4 linked regions of the Tamandua tetradactyla genome follow. The main gene of each other region encodes a partner of the protein of the gene in region 4 in a complex. Links are inferred from orthologs where the notes say so. Each region holds a gene or a part of one and is shown on either strand. Other genes may lie near its edges.

Region 1 (7,102 bases), on a different chromosome or scaffold from region 4:
TACAGAACACTTCTAGATTTGCTTTTTAATTTCATCTGTTGACTTGAAACTTCTTGGAGAAAAAAAAAGAAGAGACGCTTCTTCTTAAATTATTGCCTAATAATTGGCATTTAATTGAAATCATGCCTTATTGTGGTTTATAGCTAACATTCTCAAGATGTTCTTTTCCTTTTTGATTCAGTCATTTAAAAAAAAAAGAACTTTGCGAGTCAGTTTACCTTCTTAGATTCTCAGGCTTAACTTTGTGCGGTTTATTCAAACAGTGGTTTTCCTTGTGAAATCATGTAAGTAGAACCATCTGGAAAGGTTACTGTGGAAACGGCAGGGACTGGGATAGGATGGGGGGGCTACAAAGCAAGAGATGCCATGACAACCTTTTTCGGGTTTCCCAGGAAACATGAGTTGCTATGGGAACTGCATCAGTCAGGTCTGAATTAGAAACTTCCGCTGGAAGCGGTGTCTGCCACTTTAATCTTTTTGTGATTCTGCAAGATCTTCTCTCTCAGATGCATTAGGAAATATTTTGTCTCTCTCAGCAGTACAGAAGACATCTGTTTCTAGATTCTGATAGATGCTAGCTGGGACACATGCACGGAACTTCTTCACGGGGAATTAACTGTTAGTCTTGGTTTCAAAATGCTTCTCCAGCCCCAAAGAGTTAAACTAATTAGTCAGATCAGGACATCTGGGGCATTTCCCTTTGTTCAAAGTTGTACAGACAGTTAACATTCCAGGGGTAACTAATCAGTCAGATCAGGACATCTTGGGGATTTTCTTTTGCTCAAAGTTGTAGAGACACTTAAAATTCCAGGGGTGGGGGTTTCAAATAGAAATTCCAGTCAAAACCCAAATAAACTTATGGTGGGTTTTCAAGTCTGTTCAATTACATCTACACAGGGTAGGTAACTGAACTCAAAAGTAAATACTAATGTAGACTGATGTATCATTTAGTATTTGTCTCCTTTACTTAGTAAAAAAATTGCCTTTTAATTTTGAGGTTAAAGTTATCTAACTGCCCTTTAGTTTCATTTCCCCCCAGGATGTACTTCATTTTTTTTTAAACAGGGTGTGTACTAGAAACCAAGTTTAAAGTAAGTCTGTAGTCTCAATAGTGAGAGAGAGAGAAGAAAGAGGAGAGCTGAGAGAACGCAGCCCACTTGCAAACCAGACACCTGTTTCAGTATGAAGCAGTAAGGAGAGGGCAAATGAAGTGTGCTTTCCACCTCTTCATGTTCTTTCTTTGATGAATGGTCTGAAAATGTATAAAACAAGGGCATACACAGACCAAGGGGGCACGTTCCACACAATGCTGAGCACAGTATGTCACTCGTGGCACATATTAAACATCGGTGAATATCTTTTTGATGTTGACACAGGAGTTGGGATTATTGTTTGCGGCGCAAGTGGCCGTGGAGTTGCCCGTTTTGAAAGGGGTCTGGAGGAAGGAGCTATGGTTCATACCCCCCTCTTCGATCACCATATACTCCGACTTACTCAGAGTCGAGTTACTCCTGGCTTTTCGGAGCTCCTCGGCTGAAGGGGAGAGGTGCTGGCAACTTCCCACGTGCATGTATTGGGCTTGCTCTTCGCCTTCTGTCTCCCGGTGGTAGAAGTAATTGAAGTTGGAAACAATCACAGGAACTGGCAAGGCGATGGTTAAGACACCAGCGATTGCACAGAGCGAGCCCACAATCTTGCCCCCTATGGTCACTGGGTGCATATCACCGTAACCTACTGTTGTCATGGTTACCACTGCCCACCAGAAGGCATCAGGAATACTGCTGAAACCCGAAGTGGGGTCGTCTGCCTCGGCAAAGTAGACCGCGCTGGAGAAGAGGATGACCCCAATGAAGAGGAAAAAGATAAGCAACCCTAACTCCCTCATGGAAGCCTTCAGCGTCTGCCCCAGGATCTGCAGCCCCTTGGAATGGCGAGAGAGCTTGAAGATGCGGAAGACCCTCACCAGGCGGATGACCCTCAGGATGGCCAGGGACATGGCCTGCTGTCCATTGCCTTGTCGCTCAGCCAGCTCGGTGCCCAGAGTGATGAAATAAGGGATGATGGCCACGATGTCTATCAGGTTCATGATATTGCGAGAAAAGGTGGCTTTGCTGGGGCAAGCGAAGAACCGCACCAGCAGTTCAAAGGAGAACCAGATGATGCACAGGGTCTCCACCACGAAGAAGGGATCCGAGAAGCTGGAGGCTCCCGCGGCGGCCCCCGACGTGCTGTTGCTGGCCGACTCGAAAAGGTCCTGCGACGACGAGGCGGGGTAGTCCTTCTCGTCACGGAACTCCGGCAGCGTCTCCAGGCAGAAGATGACAATGGAGATGAGGATGACGAGCACGGACACGATGGCGATGCCCCGGGCCGGCCCGGAGCTCTCCGGGTACTCGAACAGCAGCCACACCTGGCGCTGAAAGTCGCGGCGGGGCAGGGGCCGCTCCTCCTCCCGCAGGAAGCCCTCGTCCTCGCGGAACTTCTCCATGGCCTCCTCGCCCAGCTGGTAGAAGCGGATCTCCTCGGAGAAGATGTCGATGGGCACGTTGACCGGCCGGCGGATGCGGCCCCCGGACTGATAGTAGTAGAGGATGGCGTCGAAGCTGGGCCGGTTGCGGTCGAAGAAGTACTCGTTGCGGAGCGGGTCGAAGTACCTCATGCGCCGCTTGGGGTCGCCGAGCAGCGTCTCCGGGAACTGGCAGAGGGTCTTGAGCTGCGTCTCGAAGCGCAGCCCCGAGATGTTGATCACCACGCGCTCCCCGCAGCAGTCCTGCTCGCCGGCGGCCGGCAGCGCGGGCGGCAGCGGCTCGTAGCGGTCGCAGCCGCCGCCGCCGCCCTGAGGCGGGCCCCCGCCGCCGTCAGCCGCCTCGGGCTCCAGCAGGTGGTCCCCGGGCACCACGGTCATGTCGGGCGGCAGCTCGCGGCCGGCGGCGGGCTCGGCGTAGCCGGGGTTCACCAGGGTGTGGGCGCCGCCGCCGCCGCCCGCCGGACGCTGAGGTGGGTGGGCGCGGTGGCGGGCAGAGGGCGGCGGGGAGCGCAGGAGGCTGAGGTGCTCGTCCATGCGGCGCGGAAGCGGCGGCGGCGCCTCCGGCGGGGCCGCGTCGCTCCTCCTCGCGCTCCCCGCCCCCTTCGCCCCCGCCCCCGAACCGAGCCCGCCGCCTGTTGCCAGTTAGCGCCGCCGCTGCGAGGCTGTCTGGGTCTGGCGCGTCCGCGGGGCTCCTCAAATCAGACGCCTCCTCCCCCTCCGCCCTCTCCCCCCCGCCCTCTCCCCCTCCGCCCTCTCTCCCCTCCGCCCGCGCGCGCCCGCCGGCCCCTCCGCGTCCCCTCAGGATTCCCGCCCACCGGGCGGGTGCGCGCCCCGCTCCCCCGGGAGCCGCTGGCCTGGCTTCTCAGTATTCCAGACGCGCCCTCGTTCTGCACCTGGGTAAACCCCCGCAGCCCTCGCTGCCAGCCAGCGCGGCCCGTGGGGAATTTGGTCACTGGGTCCCGGGCCCTCGGCTCGACCCGCCCTCCCCGCTCGCGTGGCCGCGTCCGGGTCGCCGGGCTTCTCGGCGCGCGCGGGTCCCACGCCTCGGCCGGGGGCTTCTCGCCGCGGCCCCGGGAGCGCCCGGCCTTCTCGCCCTCCACACGCCACCTGGGCCTTCTCGGAAGGGGCGGGGGCCGCGGAGCCCAGGGCGCGGGAGGCGAGGAGGGCCGACGTCTGTGTGCTCCGGGCGCGGCGCCGTGGAGAGGGAGAGCGGCAGCCCAGGTGGGCGCCCGGAGAGGCAAGCCTGGGGCCAGCATTTTGAGCTCACTGGAGGGTAGAACTGTCAGGCGGGAAGGGCTCTAAATTATTTAGCTCTTGCTTGGACGAGTAGCTGGAGAGAGGAATGGGTAATGATGGGGTTCGCACCCGGACTGTGAAGAAAATGGGTCATTAAAGGGGTCCAGGGACCTCGCCTCTGCAGTGAATAGTTCACGCTAACTTCGTCGCTGAGATCTCAGCCATTGCGAAGAATCAGGGATAAGTCTTTAGTTGGGCTTGAGCACCCTCCTCTTTTTAAACAGTGGGATATCCTGTCGGTGGGGAAATTAGAGGAAAATGGGAAAGGGAATTCACCACGTCTCATCTGTGTGGTTTTCTTACTGTAACTAAGGCTGAAGTCTGCCGTGGGAGGGAGGGGAGCCGGACCTCTACCTCTTAGACTCTACTTAATGCTCTACCACTGCCCTTGTGGTAGGGAATCTGCCGCACTCTAGTTGTTAAACTGGGAGAAAGCCCGCTCTCCAACTTCAGCCAGCCTCTGTTGCTTAATTTTAGCCCAGAGATAATAACGTATATGTATTCTCTTTGAACTTAAACTATGACTCCAAATTGTTGTGACTACTCTCGGCACGATTTCTGTTTCTAGACATTTTAGCAACTCCAATTTAGAGTTGACAATAGGCTTAAAAATGTGTCTTCTATCGGGTCATTCAAATCATTTACAAAAGAGGAAATGTTGTGTAGACAACTCCTTCACCCATCTGATATTAGCTGGCAATTTTATATGCATTAGGAGGGATTCGTAGTCATTCTTTTCTACCCCACTCCTAACTATGAGGTCTTTTAGGGCAAAGACTAGGTCTTACCCAATTTATATTCCTAGCAACTATGTGAAGTACTGGTGAGTAGGAACTCCATGTGTTTGATGAAATGAATTCCCCAACAAATGGTTCTTTGCATTTCTGTCTGCTCCAGACTCTACATTTCTTTTTCCAACCCCAGAATCCTGCTGGGATTCCTGGGGTGGGGAGTGGGAGGAAACTGAGCTCATAATACAGTACACTGCTCAGTTATTCCATTTCCATCTCTGGCTCTTCTGGGTATAAGCACCCAGAAATAAATAATGTTCTTTATTGTTCGTTCGTCTTCCTCTTCCCCTCCAGATCACTGCTGGGCACTGCAAGGAGTTTGCATATATAATAAGATGGTAAAAGTGGGCAGCCGTGTAAAATACTCTCCCACAAAACTCCAGAGCACACCACTATTTTATATATATATTGAGTTGGCAATTAGGGTAGCAGTATAAGCATTCATATATTTAAATCTAAGAACGAGATAGACTGTTTGCTGCGAGGATAGTTCATAGAAAGACAAGACCCTATTTTTTGAAGACCAAATGCTTAACACACTTCTTTGCTGACTTAGAAGTGATTTATTCTTCTTTTTTTGCAGGAATTAGTAATGAAATTAATATTAATCAATGGCTAGGAACACCAGAGCAGAGGATGGTTCTGTGATGGATGTTCTGTCACCAGCTGCTCCCTGCTGTGAAGTGTCTCTCCTTCAGAAATGGATTACTTCTTTTCCTTTCGTGTATTTGCCTTGTCTGGAAGACTTGGATTATGAGTTTCTTTCATAGTCTTTATTTGTGAGGCCCAGAGAGGTTTAACAACTTGTTCAAGTTCACACAGCTAGGCACTGGCAAAGCCGGGTCTAAACTTTTGGACCATTTTCAAATCCAACGTTTGTTCTACTGTATCATACTGTGAAACTCTTATGTTGATCACTGTGAGTGCTTAATAAATACTAGGTTTCTAACAGCAGCCCTTTTGCTTCTGATTACCGACTATTTCACTTCAATTCATATTTATTTTAAATGAAAATCATTGCCTTCTGACAGCCAGTATATTGTCTACAGGAAATAAGTTGGTGTGCACATTCCAGCCCTGTTGGACAGCAGAGCCCATCACAACAAATGAGTGTCAAAAATGGCACTTCAGGAGGAACACATACCATTTATTTAGCACCCCCAAGTGAGTAGCTCAAAGTGATTGGGAAATGTCTCATTAATCTTCATGACACCCCTGTGGGGTAATAATACCATTATTATAATGTTTAAGCGTATAACTATGGCAAAGCCAGCAGCATCACCGAGCATGTGCAGGATTTCTCATATTTCAGTCTTTGCTATTAAGGCCCAAGTAAAACCATCAGGTTTGCATACAATAAAAATGACCCTTGGTGTTTGGGCTTTTGTGTTGCTTTAGACCTAGCTTGGGTTTCTTACTGACCAGAACAGTACTAGAAATAGCTCACCAGTTGCTTGCCAGATGGTAAACAGCATCTGGAATTAGTCAGAAGTGTTTGAGAGTAGTATGAGGCAGGCTTACGGATCACCACTAATCCACAGTTATAGATAAATGGAAAAAGAACATCTTTATTGTTCTCAGTACTGTGGGGGTATGAAATTTGAACATGGACCTTGCTTTCAGTAGGCTTGGGTAGAATTGTGGAAGCAGGATATAAATCCATAAATTCATGAAAATTTTTACAACATTATTAGTTAACAATGCAAGACCAGAGTGTCACAAGACAATGTATTACTTTTTGGACTGTTCTAGCCAAGCTGGCTGCCTAGCAGTTTCTCAATAATACCAAGCTGTTTCCCTCTGCAAGGTCTTTGTACTTGCTCTTCTCTCTGCCTAAGACACTCTTCCTCTAGATTTTACATGGCTCTTTCCATCACTTTAGGTCTCTGTTCAAACTGTCACTCATTAGAGATATTTCCCTGACCACAACCACTCGATTTCAAATAGCTGCTTTTCTCTTTTGGTAAATTCCTGGCCTCTTGCCTACTTTGTCTTTCTTCATTGCATATGTTTACATGTAATTACATGATATATTTATTTGGTTACGTGTTTCTTTACTGTCACTTACAATAGGAAAGAAAAAAAAGCGTGACTGTATCAAAGCAGGATTTTGTGTTCACTTCTGTATTCCCAGCATCTAGCACAGTGCCTGGCACATAGTAGATGCTTAGTTAATATTTATTGAATGGAAGAAAGAAAAGGCACATAGCAGTGAAAACACAAGCCACATGAAGGAACAGTGAGTGAAGGAGTTTTGCTGGTGTATAGGGGTCATGTTGGAGAGGTATCTGTCCAGTTCTGGTTCCCTTTCATAAAACCAGCTGGGCTGTGTTTTTTGTTAAGGTTTGCTTTTTGTTAAGGTTTACAATAATGAAGGATTGCTTTTTAAATTGCCACTTTCTCCCTTTCTCTTTCCCTTTCCTTCTCTCTACCATCATGGAGGTGTCTATCCTGCATTCCAGAATTATACTGTAAACTTCCTACTTGG
Region 2 (8,029 bases), on a different chromosome or scaffold from region 4:
CCAAAAATTTGCAATGCAACAATGCATTGACAGTTAAACAGAGCATTCAAAGACTATTTAGTACAGTATCTACAAAATGTGACGTGGGTCTCTCGGGTTTTCGTTTTGTTTTTAAGTCCTTCAAGCTGCTAAGTGGGGCTTTTTTGTTTGCTCGCTTGTGTTTTAAACATCGGTTAGTAGCTTGCTCTTATTAACGCAGTTTTGATTAGCCGTGGTGCAATTGCCAGTTCTGATATTGGCCTGTCTATAATGGGTTATGCTATTATTCATATCCTCTTCGATCTCCATGTACTCAGACTTGCTGATAGTAGAGGAACTGCGGCGACTGAGGTCGCTGTCAGAGGCTAAATTAGGGGAGCTAACGTGGAGCAGCTGAGCCTGCTCTTCCCCCTCAGTTTCTCGGTGGTAGAAATAGTTGAAATTGGACACAATGACAGGTACGGGCAGGGCAATTGTCAGCACACCAGCGATGGCACACAAGGAGCCCACGATCTTGCCTCCAATTGTCACAGGGTACATGTCACCGTATCCTACAGTGGTCATGGACACCACCGCCCACCAGAAAGCATCGGGGATGCTGGAGAAGTGAGACTCAGCTTCTTCCGCTTCGGCAAAGTACACTGCGCTAGAAAACAGTATGACCCCGATGAAGAGGAAAAAGATGAGCAGCCCTAGCTCTCTCATACTAGCCTTGAGGGTCTGGCCCAGGATCTGGAGGCCCTTAGAGTGGCGGGAGAGTTTGAAGATTCTAAAAACTCTTACCAACCGGATGACCCTGAGGATGGCCAGGGAAGTGGCCTGCTCGCCTTTCTGGTTTCCCTCCTGCTCGGCTATCTCTGTGCCCAGGGTGATGAAGTAGGGGATAATGGCCACAATGTCGATGAAGTTCATGATGTTCTTGAAGAAGTCCGTCTTGCTGGGGCAGGCGAAGAAGCGCACCACCAGCTCGAAGGAGAACCAGATGATACACAGGGTCTCCACTATGAAGAAGGGGTCCGTGAAGATGTTGGAGGTGTAAACGACTGTGGTGTTGTCGAGGCGGTGGATCGTTCCCGTGAAGTCCTTGTCATCCTTCAGCTCGGGGAGAGTCTCCAGGCAAAAAATGACGATGGAGATGAGGATGACCATGACCGAGACAATGGCGATGACCCGGGCCGGCCCGGAGCTCTCCGGGTACTCGAAGAGCAGCCACACCTGGCGCTGGTACTCCTTCTCCGGCAGGGGGCGCTCCTCCTCTTTAATGAAGCCCTCGTCCTCCCGGAACTTCTCCATGGCCTCCTCACCTAGCTCGTAAAATTTGATCTCCTCGGAGAACATGTCCAGCGGCACGTTGACCGGCCTCCGCAGGCGGCCCCCGGACTGGTAGTAGTAGAGGATGGCGTCGAAGCTGGGCCGGTTGCGGTCGAAGAAGTACTCGTTCCTCAGGGGGTCGAAGTAGCGCATGCGTTTCTTGGGATTCCCCAGGAGCGTGTTGGGGAACTGAGCCAGGGTCTTGAGCTGCGTTTCGAAGCGGAGCCCGGAGATGTTGATCACCACGCGTTCGCAACATTCGTGGTCATCGTGGTCTGCCGGCCGGGGGTAGTTGCCGTCTTGGGGGTGGCCCGGGGCGGCCGAAGCCTCGTCCACGTTCTCTCCAGACACCACCGTCATGTCTGAAGCCGGGTGGAGGGGTGAGAGGCCAGGAGAGAGCCCGGGGTGGGAAAGGGCCAGAGAGGAAGGGTGGGGGGGACCCAAGCGGCCCCCCCACCGGAGTGCGCGTCTCCCCCACGCTCGGGGGCGGGGAGGAGGCCTTCAAGGCTAGGAGGTTAAGAGATCTGGGTCTTCGCTGCCGCTGGCCCTCCACCACGCTTTCCACTCAATTTGGAATCCCCCTCGCCTGGGGCCCCCGATGCAGATTTTTGCCCGGGGTTGTTTTTTTTCTACTTCTTCCTTCTCCGAGGCGCCTTAACGCAGCGCTATTCTAGCGGGTCGGGCCATCGTTTCGAGGGTCACCCTGGCCTCCCCGCCCCTCCGGGAGCCCTCCTAGGACCGGGTGCAGTGCCAGCTCAGCAGATCCCCACGCCTGCCACCCCCTCTGCTTCTCCTCGGCTCTCCCCCCTCCTACCCCTCTTCGCCTGCCGCCTTCTAAGCTCCCACCAGGGCGATCGATGGACGCTGCAGAGAAATAGAAAGTGATACGGGGGTAGAAAATCAGAAGCATTCAGATGGGACGGATCTACAGACACCGAAGAGCACAGACCTCTAGCTATTTTAGACAGCACTGGACCTTTGCTAGGGTTGTCGCATGCACACAAACGGACACACACGCAGACACCCAGAAATCCAAGTTTGGGGCTCTTTTATCCCACTTTCCCCAACACCCCGCAGCCGATCCGTTGACAACTTCGTTCAACTAGAGATCGGAAACGCGCCGAGAGACAGCGAGGGAGCTCCGGATCCCAGCCACATCCCCACACCCGGGCGTCCCCCACCCCGGCACCCCCCGCTGTTGCAGCCCCAAACTGGGAACCCCCTACCTGGCGGGCCGGCTTGGCGCAGGGGCGGTGCTGAGTCGGCGGAGAGCCCGAGTGGGAATGCGGCAGGTCGCCTTTGCAGTACCCGGGAGCGAGTAGCGGCTACCGCCGCCGCAGCAGCATCGGAGAGGAGCCGGGGCACGCTCGCTGCCCTCGTCCCCTCTTCCTTGGCTCCCCTCAGTAGGACAATCGCTTTACTGAGCTGCCGCGGCGGAAATGTCCCCCCATTCTCTCCGGTTGTCAACAATCTGGAGACGCCGTTCTCTCTCCGGTGCAGGGAGTCCCGGAGGATGCGGGCGGAAAAGCAAACTGCCACCCTCTCGCGAAGCTCTGAAGCAAATGACGATAAACAGTGCTCTCGCCCCCTCCTAACGCTGTGGGAGCCCTAGATTCGATCCCGAAGGAGGCAGGCGGCGGGCGAGCGGGCGAGAGCATGGATCTACATGATTCTCGGGTTCCTTGCACTCCCCGCACCCCAGCTTCAACCTCGCGGCGGCTACGCGGCGCGTCCCGGGGCTTCAGGAGCTCAGAGTGGAGCCCGGTGCGTGCCGCGGCGGGTCCGCTCGGTCCATTTCTGGGCGCTGCAAGATCAGCAGAAACCTGAGAAAGCGCCTCGCATGCGGAGCAGCGATTGGCCCACCAGGGCGTGGGTTGGGGAGGGCGGGGGAGGGCAGGAGCGAGGAGGTAGATGGAAAATATGAGGGGGTGGTTTGGCAGAGGGGGGTTGTCATTCAGTTCCCACCCTTGCCAGCACAGCTTTTTCCTTCTCCTATCAGAAAAGCCGACCACCAGCTCTGCTTTTCTGGAGGTTCACAGGCCCCGCACACACCCGGTCCCCCGGCCGGGGGATTTCACACTGGAAATGGTCAGGTCCGACGCAATGCAGGCGGTGGTGTCTCTGGCAAAACTCCTCGGATGGGTTTACATTTGTGCAGTCCCACAATAATCCGCTTCGATCGCAACGCTCAGAGCGTCATCCCGCCCCTCCCGCAGAGGGCTCTCGGCAGGGCAGAGTCAGCGTCTCCCCGCGGGACTGGAAGGGATGCAGAGTTTGACAGAGCACTGCAGTTGAATCACCTGCGTTTATTCAGTTTAGTGTTCCCGGGAGGCGGGGGTGCTCACGGTATGCCCCTCTGTGACCCGCGACGGGAGTTAAAGTTTTCTTACCATCAGATTATTTTGAAACGCAGAAAACATGACTTGTGGGAGACCGAAAGCTCTGTGGGTTTGTGGGGTTGTCTGCCAACTTGGTGCTAATTGGGACGAATACTGAGAAGCATGCCGCCAGCCCACCTCCCACCCGACGGATCTCCTCCCCCAGCCTCTTTCCTGGGTCTAAAGTCTCCCCAGGGCCACAAGCAAGGCTTGCAGTTGCTTCTTCGGGGTAAGGTTCCCACCGAGGCTCAGGCAGCACGAGCCGGAGGCGTGCGCGGTGCTCCCGGAGTGCGGCTCATCCCGCGCCCCCACAGGCATTGCGCCTCCGCGCCTGCAGCGCGAAAGAAGGCAGCCAGCAGCTCCGGTACTTCAGCTGCGGCGGAATCTCTACGCATGCTGTTAAGAACCCGGAGTCGCCAGTGATTGGTTCCTCCGGATGAACCGGGACCGCCCCTTCGCACAACCAGAGTTCTTGCCTGGCGCCTACACCACCCACCTCTTTAATCAAAGCCAACGATTGCATCCACTCCGCTGTATTGTGGCTAGTGGAAAGCAGGGGCCTCTGCGGGCAGCCCAGGCAGTGCAACAACCCCGGGCACAGAACTAGTTAAGTACCCCCTCCAGATGCATACCCCAGCATTCCTTTCAGAAAAATTAAAGTATTTGTTCCCTGCCGTCCTCCGTTTCCATACCGCAGCTTTTCTGTTATGAACAGTGAGCGCTCTCATACTTCTTTCCTTATTTGATGCTGCTTTTTTCTCACCTTCCACACACATATCCGTCTATCCCAGTAACTCCACGCTTCCTTAACTTTCTGCACTGCTGCTTTATTGCCAAAAATAGAGAAATAAAGCATGAAATTCCATGTCGAAATACCATCAAATCCCGTGTGCTGTTTGCTGCTGCTGCTGCTGCTGCTGCTGCAGTTAGAATCCTATTGGAGATATCCCTGGTAGCCATGAGAAACATTTTCTGTGTCCCAACAACACCCGCCTTCCCTGTTTTCCTCTTTCTACCCTGCTCTGCCTGCAGCCTCTTTCCTTGCCTTTAAACTCTGGTTAGATTGCCATCTTCCCCACCTCCGTGCAATTGCACTTGCCCTGATTCAGCATTTAAAGATCACCTTACTAGAAGAGATTCACAGACTAGATGGGGTCCCAGGTTCCTAAACTCAGCGTTTTATTAGGAGGTTGAATAGATCAGTGGTGTTCACATTCCTGGCCTATGTGTTTAGAGTAGGGTCGGAACTCCAAGAATTAGAAGAAAGTTGTTGAGCTAGGAATCCAGTACTCTTGATGCAAGTCCACCCTTGGCGAGGGACAGAAGATATTTATGCATCCAACAAATATGTGCTCAGCCCAAGCCTTGCCCCAGCCATTGTTCTAGCACTGGAAATACAGTCATAACAAAACACACAGTGTCCTAAACCTCTTGGAGCTCACTTGCTGGTGGGAGAGGCAGACAATAAACGAATAAACCGAGTATTATAGCATTAGGTAAAAGAAATTCAGAAAAGGGGATGGACAGTGACAAGTACGGATGTGCCTGGATAGGAGAGGCTTCTCTGCAACAGTAAGGTGAGCGGAGAACCTCCACATTTGAGCAGGGAGAGCAAGGAATGGGAAGATCAGGATAGAGGTAAGAGCAGATGCTACTAAGCTACTAAGACGAAGACAAGCTCAGCAGATTCAGGAAACTGAAGGGAGTCAAAATGGCTAGGAAGGCAGGACCAAAGGAGAGTGTTGTAAAGGGGGAGCTCAGAAAGGTAGGCAGGAACCATATCCCAAAGGCTTCTTAGGCCATGGTCAGAATGTTGCTTTTTTATTCTGACTGTAAGGAAAAGACATTGGAGAACTGGGATCAATGTAATAATATAATATGATCTGCATTTTTGGAAGGTGATTTTGGCTTGCCAGGAGCAAGGCACCAAGTTGGAGTCTCTTAAGTAGTATAGGCAATGAAAGCGTAAGCTAGGGAGACAGTGGGGAGGCTGTGAGAAGTGGTTGGAATAGGACTACATTTTGAAAGTTAAGATGGAAGGACTTTGGGTGTAAGGGAAAGAAGTTTCAAGAATGTCTCCCAGCATTCCAGTCTGAGTAACTAAGTGAATCGTATAGTCACGGAAGCATGGGCTCGATAGAATGCATGCCCCATGAGATATGGGACCTTGTGTGTCTTAGTTATTGATGTATTGGACAGTTTAAACATCTTCTCAGAGTCCCTCACCTTCATCATGTCACCTGTTCTTGCCTCGGCTGCTCCTGAGACAACCAACTCTGCGTGGGCTGAGGTCAAGTGGGCAGCAAATTAGTAGAATCTGTCTTCCTCAAGGTTGTAGAAAGGGCAGATGAGCAACAGGGAAGTACAGAGGCATTAGCTCTTTGTGAGATGAAATTCAACCACCTTAGGAGCTGAGGCGCTCAGGAAATAGGACAGAGCCAGAAGATACATCCTATTTCCCTTTGTCCCTCTCAGGAACCAGCACACACATATTCTATGATTGGGGCTGTGTGTCTCTGTGGCTCATGAAGCAGTGGCCAATTTGGGAACTCACCACCTTGCAGTCATGCCCATCCTCCCCTTTATCTTCACTCTGGCTGCCTTGGATTGTACCTTCCATTAAAGCATTAGCACATAGATCCTATCTCAGGGTCTCTTTCCTAGTGAACCTGAGCTGAGGCAAAAAGAATCAAAACTTCTGGTTGTGACATGTTAACTTGGATATATCTGTTAAATATCCAAATGAAAACGTTGAGTAGATGATGAGTCTAAAGTTCAGAGAAGAGGTCTGAGTTGATTAGGGTTTTCAGCTTCAGCACTGTTGGATTGCATAATTCTTTTTGTGGGAGCTCTCCTGGGCATTTTAGGATCTTTACAGCACCCTTGGCCTCTACCTACTAGATACCTCTAGCACCTCCCTCAGTTGTGACAACCAAAACTGGTTCTAGATATTGCCAAATGTCCTCTGGGAGTCAAAATCACCCCAGCTGAGAACCACTGAGGTAGATGGTGGTTAAGCCAGAGTCCTGGAGGGGAGCACTTGGACAGGAGGGTAGACAGAGAAGAGGAATGCTCAGATTGTGCCTTGGGATACTCCAGTAAAGTTAGGAGGCCAATAAAAGAAGGAAGAGCCAGCAAACGAGACCAAGAAAGGGTAACCAAAGGGCTAAGCAAACCAGGAGGAGATGGGTTCTGTGAAGCCAGAAGAAAGTAGTGTTGATTTTGTTGTTGTTTAATTTTTCATTTTTAAATAGTTTCAAGCTTACAGGACAGCTAAAAAATAATATACCTTCCATACAGACAACTTCCACATACTCCTATGTGCACCCCCGATACCCAGATCCAACAATTCTAACATTTTGTTACATTTGTCTTATTCTAGCTATTCATCATTTTAGCAATCCTATCTCTCCAGCTGTCTGTCTGTTAACATAAATCCACTTTCTGAACATTTGAATGTGGGTTGTATACAATAGTACTCCTTAACACAGAATGCTACCGTGTCATTTTCCTAAGAACAAGGAGATTCACTCATGCATCCACCTTAGGCGCAGTTATCAACATTGATATAAAGCTTTCAATCTATAATCTACTTTTTTCATATATCTCAATAGTGTCCTTTTCAAAAGCCTTCTCTCCTTCCCTATTACGTCCCACCCAGGATTATGCATCATCTTTAACTGCATTGTCCCTTTAGTTGCTCCTCAAAGGACGCTGTTAAGAAAATGCAAAGGCAGTGCAAGCTATGGATTGGGAGAAGATACTCACAATACATATATCTGACAAAGGACTTAGGCTCAGACATGTTAAAAAACTCTAACAACTCAAGAAGAAGAAGAAAAACAGCACAGTAAAAACAGAGAAAAGGTCTGAATAAACACTTCACAAAGAGAACATACTATCTAATTACATTTACATGTAATTTAAAATAAGCAAACATAAATCAGCAGTTTCCTGGTGTCGGGGATGAGAATGTGGACTGCAAGGGGGCACACAGGCATGTGTGGGGAGGATGGAAATGCTCCACCTTGATTGGGTAGTTGTTGCAGGTGTGTATAAATTAATCAAAACTCATATTATTGCACATTCAGAACGGGTACATTTTATTGTATATAAATCATACTGCATTTTTTAAAAATACTCATGGTCAAAGAGCAAATGCCATACACTGAACTGAAAGAAGAAGTTTAGACATTTTGGTATCTTTCCAAGAGCTTAACCTGTGATCTTTTCTTAAAGAAATTGTTCTGAATTGTTATGAATTGAATTACGTCCCTCACAAAGATATTTTCAGGTCCTAACTCCCAGTCCTACAGCTCAAACAGCCTATAGATGTGAACCCACTTGTAAACAGGATCCTT
Region 3 (8,077 bases), on a different chromosome or scaffold from region 4:
TACACCAGCCTGGAAGCTTCCACTTACACTACCTCTGGCCTGACCCAGACAGGAGCTAGAGGGTGGGAGGTGCACACAAGCCGCTATAGCCTGCAGGGGACTGGATAGATGATGGGTCTTGGGAGAGCACAAGTCCAGCCCACAGCATCCCTGAATATTCGGTGCTATGAGAGTATGCAGTGGGATGGTTAAGAGCAGGCCTTCTGGAGCCACAGTGCCTGAGTTTAAGTTCTGTCTCTTTCCTGGGCTAGCTGTGTGACGTTGAGCAAAGTATTCAGCCTCTCTGTGAAACAGAGGGGCTACAGTCCCACCTTGAGGAATAACCTCCCAGCTGGGCTATCCTCTGATACATCCCTGGTGGTGCTGATGCAACGCCAGCCTTCCTTCTTGGCCCCTTCCAGCCTGTTTGGCGAGAGTCAGGAGCAGCCCCCGCCTGGCCCTGTGGTGATGCAGGGGTTTTCAGTAGCAGGGGCCTTTCAGAAAAGTCGAGGGTAGGGACCTGAAAGGCAGGAGGGAGGGAGGCAGTTAAGCCTGTGGGAACATCACAGAGACCATACAGCTGCCTGGTGTTTGGAGGGTCCATAAACACAGAGCAGGTGTTCTGGGCCGGGCCTGCACCAGACACTGAAATACAAATGCGGAACTGACAAGCCCCTGCCCTGAAGGTGGAGACAGAGTCGGGCCTCATCAGACTTACCGTGGTGATGGACCTGTGTCCTGGGTACCGTGCAACATTGCGTCGGTGGGGGGAGATCCAGGCTCAGGGAGAATGGGACACGAATTGCATGTCAGAAGAGGAGTTGTTGCAGGGCTAAGAGGGCAGAGAGGCAGGAAGGTAGCAGGGGATTCTGGCTGAGAGGACTGCTGGAGCCAAAGCAGGAAGACCTGGAACCTTCTGGAAGCTCACGTTTCTTGAGCCCTTCCTGCAGGTCAGGCACTGAGAGAAACACCTGGTATACTTTATCTCCTTTACTCTGCAGAGCAAGCATTTAGGTACATGACTCCCGTTTTACAGATGTGGAACCTGAGAGTCAGACAGGAAAAGCACCCCAGCTGAGGTCCCTCGAGAGGCAGGCAGCAGGGCCGGGACTCCACCCCAGGTCAGTCTGAATTCAGGTCTAGACTTAATCCACCTACTTCAAGCCAGTTTAGAACCTTGGAGGCCGTTCCATGTGATGCCATATAGACTTCTAGGACTGGGGACAGAGGGAAGTCAAATCTTGAAGGGCTTTTCTTGCCTTTTAGGAAACATGGTGGCATCATAGCAGTGGGGAGCCACTGAAGAGTTTAAGGGGTAAGTGACATTATCTGATTTGTAGTTTAGAAAGTCACGGTAGAAATTGTGGGAGAAGAGACCAGAGGGAGCTCGTCTGGAGGCAGGGGGACCAGTAAGGGTGAAATGGCCCAGGCAAGCGTGATGACGGCTTGAACCAGGGTGGCACTAGTGTGTATGTGGCGGGGGGGACAGGGATCACAGGGACACAAATAGATGTGAAGGCCGAGTGATTGACTAGATGTGACGTTTGGGGGAGGTGAGAGAGAACTGAGAGGGACTCCTGGTTTGGGCAAGCCATGACGGGCAACGTCTTTCACTTTAAGAGGTACGTGAGAGAGAAGCAGGCCTGGGAGGTGAAACTGATGAGTCTGAGGCACAGGAGAGAGGCCTGGGCTGGACCCAGGGAGCCAGGCCGGTGAAGCCAGCTCAGCTACTTGGAGCACAGGTCCAAGAAACTGGGTGGAGCCCCCTTTGTCCTGCCCTAGAACATGGGGCTCATCGCCTTGAGTGGGTTACCATGGTTGGCATCTGGGATTCCATATCAGTGAGCTCCATCCGGGGACTGGCTGTAGAACATGAGTTGTCTCTCACATAGACGGAAGGCTGGATCATTTAGATTTGCCTCCCCCAGCATCCAGGTCACCGTGGGCAGCCTGAGTGGGCCAGGATGGCTTCAGAAAGAGTCCTGATTCACACAGTGATGGAGGCGGAACACTGCCAGCGCCCTTGAGAACCATCTTCCACGGGACAGCTGAAATGACAGGTGCTCCAAGGCCCACGGCCCAGGACACACAAAAGTATCTGCTCTCATCACAGATGATTCGCACTTCCATTGCTAATAGAGAAGGCAGCCGTGGTAGCAAGGATGGCCGATGATGATGATAGCTGATCCTTATTGAGTGCATACTGTGGGCTTGGAAGTGTTCTAAGTGTTTTCCATGCCAACCACACAATAAAAACTTATATTTGAAGAAAGTATCTCACAGCCCCAAAAAAATGTAGCGGAGCTGGGATTAGGCCCTAGGCGTCCTGGCGCCAGGGGCTGTCTGTCCTTCAGCCACTATGCTATACTGCCTTTGGGTGTTAATGGCAATGGGCCTGATTTCAAGGCAACCAATACACGACTGACACAGAGTAGCAACTCCAAAATCTCAGGGAGGGTCCGTTTTCCTTTCTTTAGCTACTCAAGCCAATAGCATATAGTGGGCTGGCGTAAACAATGGGGATTTATGAGCTCAAGTGTTTGAGGCTAAGAGAAACTGAATCAAGACTTCATCAAGGCAATGTTTTCTTCCCAGACCTACACTGTGGGGCTGACAGCCAGTGGTCCTAGGTCCTGGCTCCTCTGTCCCATGGTGAGACACATTGAGGTGTCTCCTGGCCTCTCAGTTCTCTTTCAGTTTCTATTGAATTTCAGCTTCTTGCTTACTATTGCTTTCTCTCTTTCGATCTGAATTTCATTCTGCTCATAAAGGATGGCAGTGAAAGGATTCAGACCCATTCTTCTTGGGTTGGACCACAGTTTAGCTGAAGTAACCTCCTCGAAAGGTCCTACTTGCAATGTGTTCACAGCCCCAATTTTGGAGTAAGAGTAAAAACATGTTTTTGTGGGAAATATACAGCTCCCATCCACCACCGGGCCTATCCCCTTTACCCATTCCTTAAAATGTTCTTTTCATTTGGCCACTATATAGAGTAGAGTGGGAGAGTATAGCAGTCAATTTAAAAACAGCACTTCAGGATGGGAGCCAAAGCCCAGGTCTCCATATATCCCCTTGGAGATAGCTAGAATTAATCTTGGAAGCCTCCCTGTGAGAAACAGACCTTGACTTCTGACTCAAAGTATAAGCCCTTACAGAAGGAGGGAGATGGAGCCACTCATTTCACTTCCAGGAGAAGTTCTCTCATGTTGCTATAGCGGGCATGATGCGCATTACTTGACACTGTAACCACAGAAATGATCCTTTCACACACTGGCCAAGCTTTTGGCTTTTCCAAGCATATTCACAGGCATTATCCTCTTTGATCCTAACAATGAGACTTTAATACACAAAAACCTTGACTGTTAGTTTCCTTCCTTTTTCCTTTCTCCCTCCCTCTCTCTCTTTAAACACTATGAAGCAAGGGAGGTTGGGGTAAGTGCTCTCCTTCCTATTTTACAAGAAAACCGTTGCACAGCAAGTTCAAGTGAGTGACCTAGGGTCACACAGCTCCATGTCCACGGCTGCATGATAAGACTAAAGCCAGACTACACCCCTAGTCAGATGCTCTGACTTTTACTCTACTTTACCACCACTTAGTCGTCAGGTGACCCCGGACAGGTCACATCCCCTCTCTCTGCCTCAGTGTCCCTCCTGTGAAATAGTGCTAATGTAGAAACTGCCTCCTAGAGCTGTGAGGATAAAATGTCACGTGGGGGCAGAGCTGCTCTGCACAGCGTCTGACCCTGGCGAGCCCTTGTCACCAATTAGCATGACTGTTCATTCTCCCTCAAGAGCTTTTGTCTGTCCACATCTTTGGTTTTAACAAAAGAGGGAAAAATAAGATATAGGGACATGAATGGAGGAACCATAACTGCCATGAGGACCCAGTGTGGTAAGTAGCATCACAGTGAGGAGCAGGGTTCTGGAGGACACCGTGGGGAGAGGGATGGGAATGGCTCAGACCTCAGGAAGGATGAGGGGTAGGGCCAGCTACCCTCACTGGGAAGCAGAGAGAATGGAGTTACAGAGACCCAGCAGCTGGGCACGTAGAGGAATAGCAGAAAGCTAAGCTGGAGACTCAAGTCATGAGGGGAATTTCCTAGGGAAGCATAGTAGAGAAACCATCCTTTATTATTGAGTGTCTGTTGGGTGCTAAACATTTTACATACCATAACCCCGGGAGGTATTCTCATTTTGCAGATGGAGATTCTGAGGCCTAGAGAATTGAATTGACTTGCCTAGTAATTGGCAAAGATTTAAGTCAGGGTCTGGCTGACTCCCAAACATCCCCAGGGCCTAGTTTGGCTGGGCCAATTAATGGCCCCGCTTCAAGGGGCTCTAAACCAACCCTGTCATCCCCCATAGCAGCATGAGCTCACTGCTCTCCCAGACTGCCCTTACTTCTTAAGTCACGTCTTATAAGACTACCCTCTTCGAAATGCTGGAATCCATCAGAGGCCAGTGAGTCAAGGGCTGGGCCTTGTCCTGAGCTCCTATGGGGCCTCAGTGCTTCCGTCACTAGGTAGAAGCATAGATATGAGGGTTCCCTGAGCAGAGAGCACCCAGTAGGAGACTTCCCCTACCACAGCCCCCTCAGAATCCAGAGCATGTGCCTCCAGCAGAGTCTGAGCCAAAGAAACCAGTTTGGATCCCATGGCCTGGGGCCATCATGTGCACCCCGGGAGCACCCCTGGATCTTAGCAGAGGGCAGGCTGGGCTACCCACACACATTTTTCCAAGAGCAAAGGGTATCCTTCTCTGCCCACCCCAGGGTGGTGTGAGCTCCCCTCTTGATTTCAGAGCCCGGTAGGCCAGCTGGTTTTGTAAAGTCTGAGAGGGGGCGCATCCTGGGAGTAGCTGGTCCTCACAAAGGGCAGCCACATGTACTCCTACTTTCTGGCCCTGATCCTGGGGTTAGGGAAGCCAGCCCAGAAGGCCGGCTCTGCAGTGCTGTTTGTTCCAACAGCGACTCCTCCCGGTGGGGGGCGAATGTGGCAGCGAGTTTCTGCCACACTGCGGCTGCACCTGCTGCATTCCCCTTCGAAGCCAAGGCTTCGGCTGGGTAAGGGGTAGGTGGGGAGGCAGAGCTGGAGGAGGGGGCGCGCCGGCGAGAGAGGCCAGGGGAGGATCTGCAGATCCTGCCTGGCAGTCTCGTAATAATAGCAACACATCTCCCGCGGGGCTGGATCCCTCCTCGGGCCTGGGATAGCTGCTATTGATTGTTTCCTCCTTGCCTACTTCTTTATGTTAGCAGGAGCCTCAGGGGCGCTTCTCAACTTCTGCCCCTTCCATCTCTCCGGCCGCCCGTTCCCCGGCCACGGCAGCACCCAACTGAGCTCTCCAAGAGGTTCTGGTTAGTAACCTGGGCTCTGCCAAAGAATGGGGTGCTTTCTTCGTGACGTGGGAGCCGAGGCTCGGGGGCACCAACTGGGTGGCCAGCTTTGGCACCCGCCGGCCCCTTTAATTCCAGTTCACTGGCGGGCCAGGTGCGGCGCTGCGTGGCGCGGTGCAGCGCGGTGCAGCTGCGGGCGGCGGCCGGGCGCTCTGTACGCGCCGCCCGCGGGACTGCAGAGCCGGCTCCCGGCTGGCCGCCGGCACCCCCACCGCGGTCGCCCGCAGCCGCAGTTCAGCCGGTGCTTGCCATAAACCACGAACATGGAGGCTCCGAGTGCCTATCCGGAAGGGTAAATCGGTGTCGGCGTTTCGCTGCGCGTGCTGCCTCCCCCTGCCCGGGCTGCGGCGCCAAGAGGGGCTGCGGGGCGCTGGGAGGCGCAGCCTGCAGGGTGGAGGGTTCGGGCTAAGGCCCGGGAGGGCGAGCCGGTACCGACCACCGCTCTCTGATCGGCGGGTTCCGGGGCCGGGGCTGGAGAGGGGGGCTTGCGCCCTGCGGAAGAAGAATGCACGAAAGGGGCTCGGGGACCCTCTGGGGTGTGCGTGACACGGGACGGAGGGCACGTAGAGGCGCTGGCCGGTGAGGGGAGTGCAGCTGACAGCATAACCATGTCTGGTAAATAGGGCCGGTTGGTAAGATCTCAATCACTTGGGACGGCCGGGCTGCTTTCGCCTGTCGGGCACTGAATAAAAACGACTTTGCTGCCCAGAAAGGCTGGTTCCTTTCCCTAGGGCCGTGAGCTGCCGGCGGAGCCCCCGCGCTTAGGGGGAAGCTGAGATCTGGGGCAAACCGCGCAGGGCAACCCACCTCCCACACCCAGAGTTCAGGCTCCGGTGTTTCCGGGTGGAGATGGACCCGCGGTGGTCCCTCGGGGGCGTTCCGGCCCGCAGCAGGAACTGGCGGGGCCGGGCAGGAGAGGGTTAAGGGGGTGCCTGTCGCCGCGGCAAGCAGGATGGTCCAGGCTGAGCGGAGCGGGGAATGCGCCGGGAGGAATCCCGGCCCGAGCCCGGGGCGATGGGGAGAGGGCTCAGACCCCTCCCTGATTTGGGACCGGCGGGATTGGGCGGGCAGTAGGCCAGCCCGGAAGCAGGCTTGCTTCAGGTTCTCCCTCTCGCGGCTGCCGAGGTACCGCTCCGCAGTCAGGCAGACTGAGCGTTTGTTCTGCGCTCCCTGCCGAGGACTTGCGAGGGATTTTCTCTTGGGGGAAAAATCAGTAGTTGAGTGTCTGCCCGGCTCAAATGCCACCCCGGCTGGAAGGAGGCCTGCGGCCCAGGGGTCCCCGGCAGAGAGTAAGTCCAGGGACCCGGCTAGCTTTCCGACAGAGGCAGCCTTGGGGGGTGTGGAGTCTTCCTAGTTGAACTCTGAAGGCGATGGGGGAATTGCTGCTTCTCCCAGGGTCTGGTGGAGGTCAAAGCTGTAATCTGGCTGCAGTGAGCACAGCCCTCCCCTTGGGAGATGCTGTGTCCTGGCAGGAGGAGGAGGAATAACGCTTTGCCCAGAGTCCCTCCTGATGGCATCTGAGGACTTGGGGATCTGGCTCAGCCCCAGAGAGGCCCCTGGAGGAGACAGGCCCAGCCAAGCCTGCAGGATTTTTCCTGGGGAGAATAGTTTCAAGTTGATGGGAAGCTTGAGGGGTAGTTCTCAGGAGTGGTACTCCAATGGCAGGTGAGCATGGGGGACTGTCCCCTTCAGTAAGGGCAGCTGCCAGAGCCCTCTTAAATCTTGGCACCAGCTCCCCAGAAACCCTGGTCCCACCTTACTGCTGTTTCTTCCAGGCAACGTCACACCTCCTGAGGACAGCCCGGAGGACTCCAGCTTTTGCTGAGCTTTGTATCTTGCCTCCTTCCTTCCAAAGGCTCCAGACCCAAGCTCTTCTGTCCCCAAGTCCCGCAGGCCCCTGGCCAGGCTCCCCACCACCCCTCCAACCCAGCCAAACCCTGGAGCTCACCTCCAGGACCTGGAGCCTGCCCTCCTGCCCAGGATGACTCACCATTATTTCTAGCTCGGGCGAGAAGACGTGATGGGGAGTTGGGTTGCCTGTTTGTATATTTAGGATTCCTGCAGCCTCTGATCAACTCTTGCAGAAAGAGAGCTTCAGATTCCTGCCTTGTCAGGTAAATCAATCTGCTGTTTAAAAACAGCAATGTGTAGAGTCGTTGGGGTGGGGGTAATGAGGGAGACCCAGGGTCAAGATCCCCAGCCGTGAAGGCCTCCCAGGGTGCAGGTATTTGTAAGACATTACTTCAGTGCCTGGGGTAGGGCTCCCTCTAGTCTTCTAGGATGGGCTTAGGCTTCTGTGAAGCCTGGACAGTGAAGAAGGGTCCTGTACCAGCCACCTTTTCTCAGTGCAGGGCATTCCACTGCTTCCTTGAGACACTGCTATCTGCTCCCCTCTGATTCTCCCCCTCCCCCCCGAAAAAAGTAAATTTTGCCTTTTTATGATGGTGGTAGTCATGTTTCTGAACTCTTGGCTTAGAGAGCGGAAACAAAAAGCAACCCAGGTTGGGCTGCCAGCGCTGAGTGGTCTCATGCCCTTAATTGTCTCTGTCTTTCAGCCAAGCAAGGCTGTCTCTCCAGCTCTCAGAGAGCCACTGGGCTCTCCAGAGGAGCCCAGGCCAATGCTTCTGCATTTCCTGGAGCCTTCAACAGCACCCTGAGCTCCCTGCGCTGGGCAGCTGGAAGGTGTCGCGTGAGGCACTTCTCTGA
Region 4 (7,035 bases):
AGAGAAGCCCGGAGAGCGTGCAGAGAGCCTGAGTCCCCAAATGCAGAGGCCCAAGGGGAGTGAGGCATGGCCTCACAGCATCCTCCTGGAGGGACCCTCAGGGTGAAACCAGGTCGAGGGCTGTCCCAGGGGAAGCAGCACAGGTGACTGGGGGACTCGGCATGGCGGCAGGGACCTTGCCTGCTGCCTGAACATACTCTAGTATGGCCAGGCCAGGGGACTGCAGCCCCCATGCTAGGTGGCCACCACCTGAGGAAAGCTCCCTGGCTTCGTAAGCCTCGTGAAGGACAGCACCGTCCACGCAGTCTCTGCCCAGGTAAAGCATCATTGCCGTGGCAGAGCCCACTGGACTCCATGCTCTAAGATAACCAAATATGTCACAATCCTTAAGCTTCTGCAAAGAAAGACTGAGCAGAATGAACAGGAGTGCCGGGGCTGCCTGGGAAGGAGTTAAGCTGGGATGGGAACTTTCAAAGCTTAAGTGGTAAGAACCACACCAAATAGATGGTCATCCTAAATAACTACCCTTGGAAACTAAAACCCAGATAAATGTCCATTGACCATCCACACAACGGAAATGTGCCCAGTCGTCAGGCCTCTCGGGGTGGGCTGATTGGCAGGGAACCCCAAAAGAGGGGGTGGGTTAAAACAAAGGCACAGAGAGAAATGAGACAAAATAAAGTGTCAGTGGCTGAGAAATTTCAAAAAGAATCGAGAGGTTATCCTGGAGGTTCTTATGCATTATGTAGATATCCCCTTTTTAGTTAAGGTGTATTAGAGAGGCTGGAGGGAAGTGCCTGAAACTGTAGAGCTGTGTTCCAGTAGCCATGTTTCTTGAGGATGATTGTATAATGATACAGATTTTGCAGTATGACTGTGTGACTGTGAAAACCTTGTGTCTGATGCTCCTCTTACCTATGGTATGGACAGAGGAGTAAAAAATATGGATAAGAAATACACAAATAATAGGGGGAAAAGTTAAAATAAATTGAGTAGATTGAAATACTAGTGGTCAATGAGAGGGAGGAATAAGGGTATAGCAGGTATGAGTTTTTCCTTTTTTATTTCTTTTGCTGGAGAGATGCAAATGTTAAAAAAAATGATCTTGGTGTGAGTACACAACTATGTGATCATATTGTGAGCCACTGATTTGAACCATGTCAAGAATGTTTGTATGTTTGTTGTTTATAATAAAAATATTAAAAAAAACAAAACATCGCAAAGGCACAGGGAAAAAGTTACCATTTGTGCTCATTTTGGCACTTACAGGAGAGTGTGTAAGGCTCAAGTGGACACTTAGAGATGAGTGTGTAGATATTCATTCAGGTACTTACAGATGAGCATGTAAATGCTTATTTGGGTATCTGGAGATGAGTGTATAAATACTCATTCAGGTATGTATAGATGAGAGTGCAAATGTTCACTCAGGTACACAGAGATGAGTGTGTAAATGCTCATTCAGGCACCGAGAGATGACTCTGTAAAGTTCATCCAGGCACTTGCTGATGAGTGTGCAAATGCTCACCTGGGCACTTACAGATGAGTGTGTGAATGTCCACCCAGGTATGTACAGATGAGCATGTAGAGATGAGTGTGTAAATGTTCACGAGGGCAATTACAGCTGAGTGTGTCAATACTCATTTGTGCGCTCACAGATGTGTGCAGATGCTCACCTGGGCCCCTGCAGATGAGTGTGTAAATGAATGCTGCACCGTGGCCATGGACATCCAAGCCTTGGAGTGTATTTGGCCAGCCAACAAAGACCTGGTTGTGGGGGCAGAGCAGGCTGCCAATCCAGGGACCCCACCAGCACTGCACTGCACCCCCAGCCTCGACCCAACAGTTCCACAAAGCCCACGAAGCAGGGGGGGAGCTCAGACGTGGAGCTGCTGCTGCAGCTGGGTTGGCCGCAGAGGGGTCCCGGAGGCCTGGGCTGGAAAGGGAGCAGCACTGCCCCACACTTCGGCACATGCAGCGACAAGCCCTAGCAGCCAGGGAGGGGGCTGCGAGGGCTGTCTGGGGGGCTGTCTCAGGGCTGAGGGTGGCACTGCCCTGGAGGTGCCCTAGGCTGGCCCCTCTTCAGGTGAGCTCTACAGGCTCAGCTCTGCTGGGCCTCCTTCACAGGCCAGAGCAGGGCCCCCAGGCTGGGAGTCTGGGCTGAGTCCAGGGAGTCTGGAGGCTGAGGTGGGGTGGGCCGAGCTGACCTTTTTGCACTCTGGTCTGAGGGGAGGGACTGTCCCAAGGAGCCTCGGGGCTTCAGGGGTTTCCAGACCAGTCTGTCTGTTTGTCTCTTGCCTCCTGGGCCTGCAGAGTGGAGACGTCCTTCCTGTCCCCCTTGACCCTGCCGGGCCTGGGGCCTGGCTCACAGCAGGGGCCCAGAAATACTTGTTGAAGAGCACCCAACTGAGGCGGGGAAGGTGGGCTTGGGGTAAGAAACTAGTGAGCAAGGAGATGCTAAGGGCCCCTTCCAGGGGAAGAGGGGAGCCGTGCACCTGCCACCCCGGGCCAGGGCTGGACGATCTGGAGGCAAATCCTCACTTCCCCAGGTGTCTATGCTTAGAGACGATGCCAGCTGCGGGGCTCTTCCCGGAGAGCCGGGACCAGCCCAGACATGCGCTTCCTCAGCCAGGCATAGCCGGGCCGAGATCAATAGCCATTAGCTCTCAAGGTATTGACCACAAGGAACCCCCCAGGTCTGGCTGGCTCTGGAAACACATCCCGGGCCCAGGTGGTGGGTGGGTGGGTGTGGCTCAGCACCCGGGTTCTGGACTGGCAGCCCTGTCTCCAGCTCTCAGTGTAGCTCTAGCAAGCACCCGGGCCACTGCAGACCTCAGTGTTCACATCTGTGAAGTGGGCTGAGCAGAGGCCCGTTGCTAAAGGCTGCCGTGAGGATGCCCTGAGGCTGGGCACGTGGTGGCTGTGCAGCCGGGACCCCGAAACTCCCCCCAAGGCTGGTGCCACGAGGGGTGGGGAGGCTGTCTGGGGGCTGGCAGGTGGCCCCCTGGGGGTGCTGCGTGAGCTGGGGCTTGAATGACGGGCGAGCCAGGCAGAAGGCAAACCTCGCTAGAAAATGCTTAGTATGAGGAGATACAGATATTCCTGACGGCTCCTGCCTCGCAAGAATACTGAGATGGGCCGTGGGTGAGGGTTGGAGATGGGGGCTGGGGGGGACAAGGGCGGGAGCAGGAAGGAATGGCCCCCATGTGGCTGAGACTGAGGGGCTGCAGGCCCCCTGCCTGAGGGCTCCTTCAGGCGCATTCGTGGCCCTGGGAGCAGGTCTGTGGGCTGGGCCACCTGCGACATGGTGGCCTCCGAGATCCTGCCTGGGATGGACCCCAGGTGCCTGGGAGCAGGCCTCGGCTGAGAAGAAATGGGGTGTGGGGTGAGCGCGGCCCCCCACCAGGGAGGGAGAGTGAAGCGAGCAGCAGAGCAGAGGCCTGGCACCTGGAGTGGCTCTGAAGGTCAAGGCCCACAAAACACGCATCTGCATAAGAATCGGGGGTGGGGGTCAAGGGAGAGGGCGGAGGGGCGTGCGCGGATGGCAGAGGGCACTCAGAGGGTCACGGGGGCTACCCTGGACTATTTGGGTGGGAGAAGGCAGAGCCCAGCTTCCCTGGACTCGGAGATCCTTCCTCCCGCTGGGGCTCTGTTCTGGGAGGGGGGCCCTTGCAGGGCACCTGCCTCGGGCCCCTGGCAGCTCCAGAGCTCCAAAGTGCAGGAGCACCAGCCCCTGATTCCCAGTTTCCGGGCACTTCCCGCCATCCTGCCCCTGGCCTCCAGAAACTTCAACCCCTACCCCAACAGCTGTTGCTAATTATGTGGTACCTACACGTTCTTTCCTGCAAGGGGCCTGCCTTTTGCAAATCTATTCCTGTAGATTAGGGGGCTCCGGGGAATTCACAAAAATTAGCACCATGACGTGAGAAAATGAAACCAAGACATTAGCCTCATTAAATCGGTAGGAGCAGCTACCACCCTTAAGAGCGCGGTGCCTGGAATTCCTTAATTGTGGTCCATTCACTGCAAGTCACCTGGCCGTCAATAAAGCACAAGACCGAGGAGGAATTCAAACGACGACATCTGCTTTGAATTTAGAGAAAGGAGCAAAAGTCCTTGAGAGCAGAAACACAAGGGGAAGCTGTGTCATTCCGGAATGCAGCTCTACAATGCACGGCAGCGCGTTAATGCACGACCAAAATCGTTTTTCGCCCAAGATGGCTCAGCAAACCCAGGCCCGATCGAGCAGCACCCCCGCCTCCCAGGCATGTGGTTTCCTAGACTTCTCAGACAGCAGGCAAGCCTCCCTGACAGCGTTCTCAGGAAAACTCAGAAATGCAGAATCTCAATCAATTGTGAACCCGACAAGAGATGAGCCAGATACCTGTGTGGCTCCAACAGACGGGAAAACAGACATGAAGCCAGCCACCAGCCCTTGGCAGTTCGGGAGGCAAGCACGCCCAAGCAGGAGATCAGCAGCGGCCAGTGCTGCCAGGCCAGCAGCCCGCCCCTTTCCTCCAGCACTCACCTCCAACGTACCTACAGCTGCTTGGTTTTTTTTTTTTTTGAGGTTTTCTGCTATGAAAATGTAGAGGGTCTAATTCCCGAACAGCCAAAAGCATCCCCAAACACCATCTCCTCTGCTACTGCAGCTCCCAGGGATGACAGCACCCAAGCAGCGTTCCCACCCCAGGGGCGGAAGGAGAGACTCACCTGCTGCCTTGGGCTTCTGCACATTAAAAGGACAGAGGCTAGTTCAGGCTCGCCAGATGCTCTAAGGATCTGGCGCAGCGGAGCTTTCATTAGGGGAGTGTCACTGCAGGACGTCAGAAACAACTGGTGAATGAGACGGGTCCCACAAGGGCTGAGTTTTGAGTCGGTGAGTCCATTAGCTCTATTAGGGCGTTTGCATCTCGCTGAAAGAGGCTGAATTATTCAGGAGTGCCTCTTTCCCTAAAAGCCTGCGAAGTGCAGTTCTGCGGGCCAGCTCTGGGATGCAGGGTCGCAGTCTGGCTGCAGGGTGGGGGTGGGGGGCCGCGGCTGGGGACTTTCCCTTCCTGCAGGCACGAATGGTCCCATTGTCTCCCCCCAACCCTACTCCAGCGAGCCAGCAGACCCCCAGAGCAGCAAGAGGAAGGGGTAGTCGGTGCTACCTGCCCCAAGTTCCACTCAGGAGGGCCAGGTGTGTGTGGGGGGACAGAGAGCTTGCAGCTTCCCGCACCACCCCCCAATTCCTAGCTATGTCTGTAGCAGGTGAGCCACTGTCCCCACATTGGTGACTGCCCCCCATGGCTTCCGTCTTGGGGTGCCAAGAGAGGCTCAGCATAGCATCGACTTCTGGTGGAAAAAGTGCACCAGTGCACGTGGGATTTGGAGGAAGGCTGAGCTGTCTGTACTGTGGCAAACCCACAGACCTCAGCAGGGGACACCTTGGGGGGTGGGGGTGGAAAATTGTTACTCCAGCCCTGGAGTAGGACGTTAACTAAAGGGGGAGGCTGCGGGAGGCCCAGGGCCCGGAGGTGACTAGACACAGGCCATCATCTGTAAGGGCCGCGAACGTCAGCTCCCCGGTATCTGCCACTTGTCAGCTTCTGTGGGTGGGGTGTGGGCAAGGGTGGGTGGTCATCAGCCAACGTGCTCTGAACGCAGCCCGCCTCCCTCCCCCGGGCCAGCTGCTCCTCTGCTAGTGGGGCCTCCTTCTCAGCCTCCGCATGTCTGAGCCCCTCCGCCTCCGCGCATCCGTTGCCAAGCCCTATGGACTCAGCTTCTGATGTCTTTTTCTCATCTACTTGTACCGCTTTGTTCCCAAATCTCCTGCTAGTTTGGGCCTCCTCCTCTACTCTTGGCTGTTTTCTGGCCTCCTTACATCCATCATTCTTTCCCCCAACCCATCTTACTCCCTGTTTATGGCAGAGGTCTGGTCACTGTCCTGCTCAAACACCATCGATGGCTCCCCAGTGTCCACTATATGAAGTCCAAGGTCCTTTGCTTGGTATGCAAGGCCCTCACCAACATGACCTGATCTCTCATTATGCTCCCTCATGTCCCCGACAGCCCAGTCCACAACCACATCCCGTTCTCTGTCCACACCTCCGTTTTGTGCCTTAGGCTGTTGCACCTACTGGAATGTTCTTCCCAGTCTCTGGGCTGAATCCTGCCCAGCCTTCAAGGTCCAGCTCAGGACCATGCCACCTTCTCCATGAAGCCCTCCCTGCCTCCTCAGTGGACTAAGACCACTCCTCATCTGAACCCAGGCAGCTCTTTGGACTTCTCCCACCCTGTTTTGCATTCTAGATACCATGAGAGCTCTCTGGGTTTCAGGGCAGGTTGTGTTATCTCTCCTGGTCCTGGTCCTGGTCCCCTCTCTGCATCTGTGAGCCTCACCTCCTGACCCCAGCTCCTCCCGCTGACGGGACGAGTCTATTTTCCTGCATGGCCATGGTCACTTGCTTTGGCTCAGAGAAGGTAAGAGAGTGGCAGTGTACCAGCTCTCAGTGTGGGCCTCGAGAGGCGCTGCCTGCTTCCACCTCTCCTGTGTGCTGCGGCTGCCTGCGGAGGATGCACCTGGGAGAGCCGCTGCCTGGAAAGCTGGGGGGGCCGGGGGAATGGCTGGCCCCAACCAACCGCTTGGACACGAGCCCAGGGGCAGCACAGGAGATGTGGGACTTGGCTCTCTAACAGAGCTCGCCCCTGTGCAGAGAATGCTTTGCACTCTGGGTTGAGAGGGTACTTCCAGGAGGCTCCCGGAGGGGAGGGCGATGGGCTGGGTGTGAGGGTCCTGCGGGCTGGGAGTGGTACCAAGCGAGTGGGACTGCTTTCCCTTCAACGCGCTTTACCCGATGCCTGGCTCCACCCTCCTGCGAGTTCTCTGCACCTGGGGTTTTTCTGCCTGCCTGTCACCCTCTCTCCACTCCTGCTGGGGAACAGGGAATGCTGTCTGCGGGTGCCTTCGGGTGCTAGCTTGCATTCACTGGTCAGGTCTCAGGACGAATGCCATACCTTAAGATAAACACTTCATCCCAGGAAAGGATTCACAAG

The links.
Region 1: the proteins of KCNAB2 (region 4) and KCNA3 are in contact, whole or in part, in a cryo-EM structure (PDB 7EJ2), measured with the Homo sapiens proteins. The link is inferred for Tamandua tetradactyla from reciprocal best matches to the Homo sapiens genes KCNAB2 and KCNA3. Residues at the interface, in NP_001186789.1 of Homo sapiens: Met196, Tyr199, Ser200, Arg203, Glu231, His234, Lys235, Ile236; in NP_002223.3 of Homo sapiens: Pro133, Met137, Phe140, Pro142, Leu143, Asn145, Tyr147.
Region 2: the proteins of KCNAB2 (region 4) and KCNA1 are in contact, whole or in part, in a crystal structure (PDB 1EXB), measured with the Rattus norvegicus proteins. The link is inferred for Tamandua tetradactyla from reciprocal best matches to the Homo sapiens genes KCNAB2 and KCNA1. Residues at the interface, in NP_059000.1 of Rattus norvegicus: Met196, Tyr199, Ser200, Arg203, Glu231, Lys235, Ile236; in NP_775118.1 of Rattus norvegicus: Glu37, Met70, Phe73, Asp74, Pro75, Leu76, Asn78, Tyr80.
Region 3: the proteins of KCNAB2 (region 4) and KCNA2 are in contact, whole or in part, in a crystal structure (PDB 5WIE), measured with the Rattus norvegicus proteins. The link is inferred for Tamandua tetradactyla from reciprocal best matches to the Homo sapiens genes KCNAB2 and KCNA2. Residues at the interface, in NP_059000.1 of Rattus norvegicus: Met193, Met196, Tyr199, Ser200, Arg203, Glu231, His234, Lys235, Ile236; in NP_037102.1 of Rattus norvegicus: Asp28, Glu33, Pro62, Met66, Phe69, Asp70, Pro71, Leu72, Arg73, Asn74, Tyr76.

What each region holds. Positions count from the first base shown.
Region 1 is NC_135337.1:11,903,250-11,910,351, reverse strand, and holds the start of KCNA3 (potassium voltage-gated channel subfamily A member 3), read right to left. Parts: upstream 3,062-7,102; coding exon 1,340-3,061; 3' UTR 1-1,339.
Region 2 is NC_135333.1:67,200,667-67,208,695, reverse strand, and holds the start of KCNA1 (potassium voltage-gated channel subfamily A member 1), read right to left. Parts: upstream 3,082-8,029; 5' UTR 2,517-3,081; intron 2,155-2,516; 5' UTR 1,651-2,154; coding exon 163-1,650; 3' UTR 1-162. UniProt on the Homo sapiens protein: Voltage-gated potassium channel that mediates transmembrane potassium transport in excitable membranes, primarily in the brain and the central nervous system, but also in the kidney.
Region 3 is NC_135337.1:11,968,192-11,976,268, forward strand, and holds the start of KCNA2 (potassium voltage-gated channel subfamily A member 2), read left to right. Parts: upstream 1-4,977; 5' UTR 4,978-5,041; intron 5,042-5,555; exon of another isoform or gene 5,556-5,663; intron 5,664-7,146; 5' UTR 7,147-7,485; intron 7,486-7,926; 5' UTR 7,927-8,077. UniProt on the Homo sapiens protein: Voltage-gated potassium channel that mediates transmembrane potassium transport in excitable membranes, primarily in the brain and the central nervous system, but also in the cardiovascular system.
Region 4 is NC_135328.1:219,376,611-219,383,645, forward strand, and holds the start of KCNAB2 (voltage-gated potassium channel subunit beta-2), read right to left. Parts: upstream 3,067-7,035; 5' UTR 1-3,066.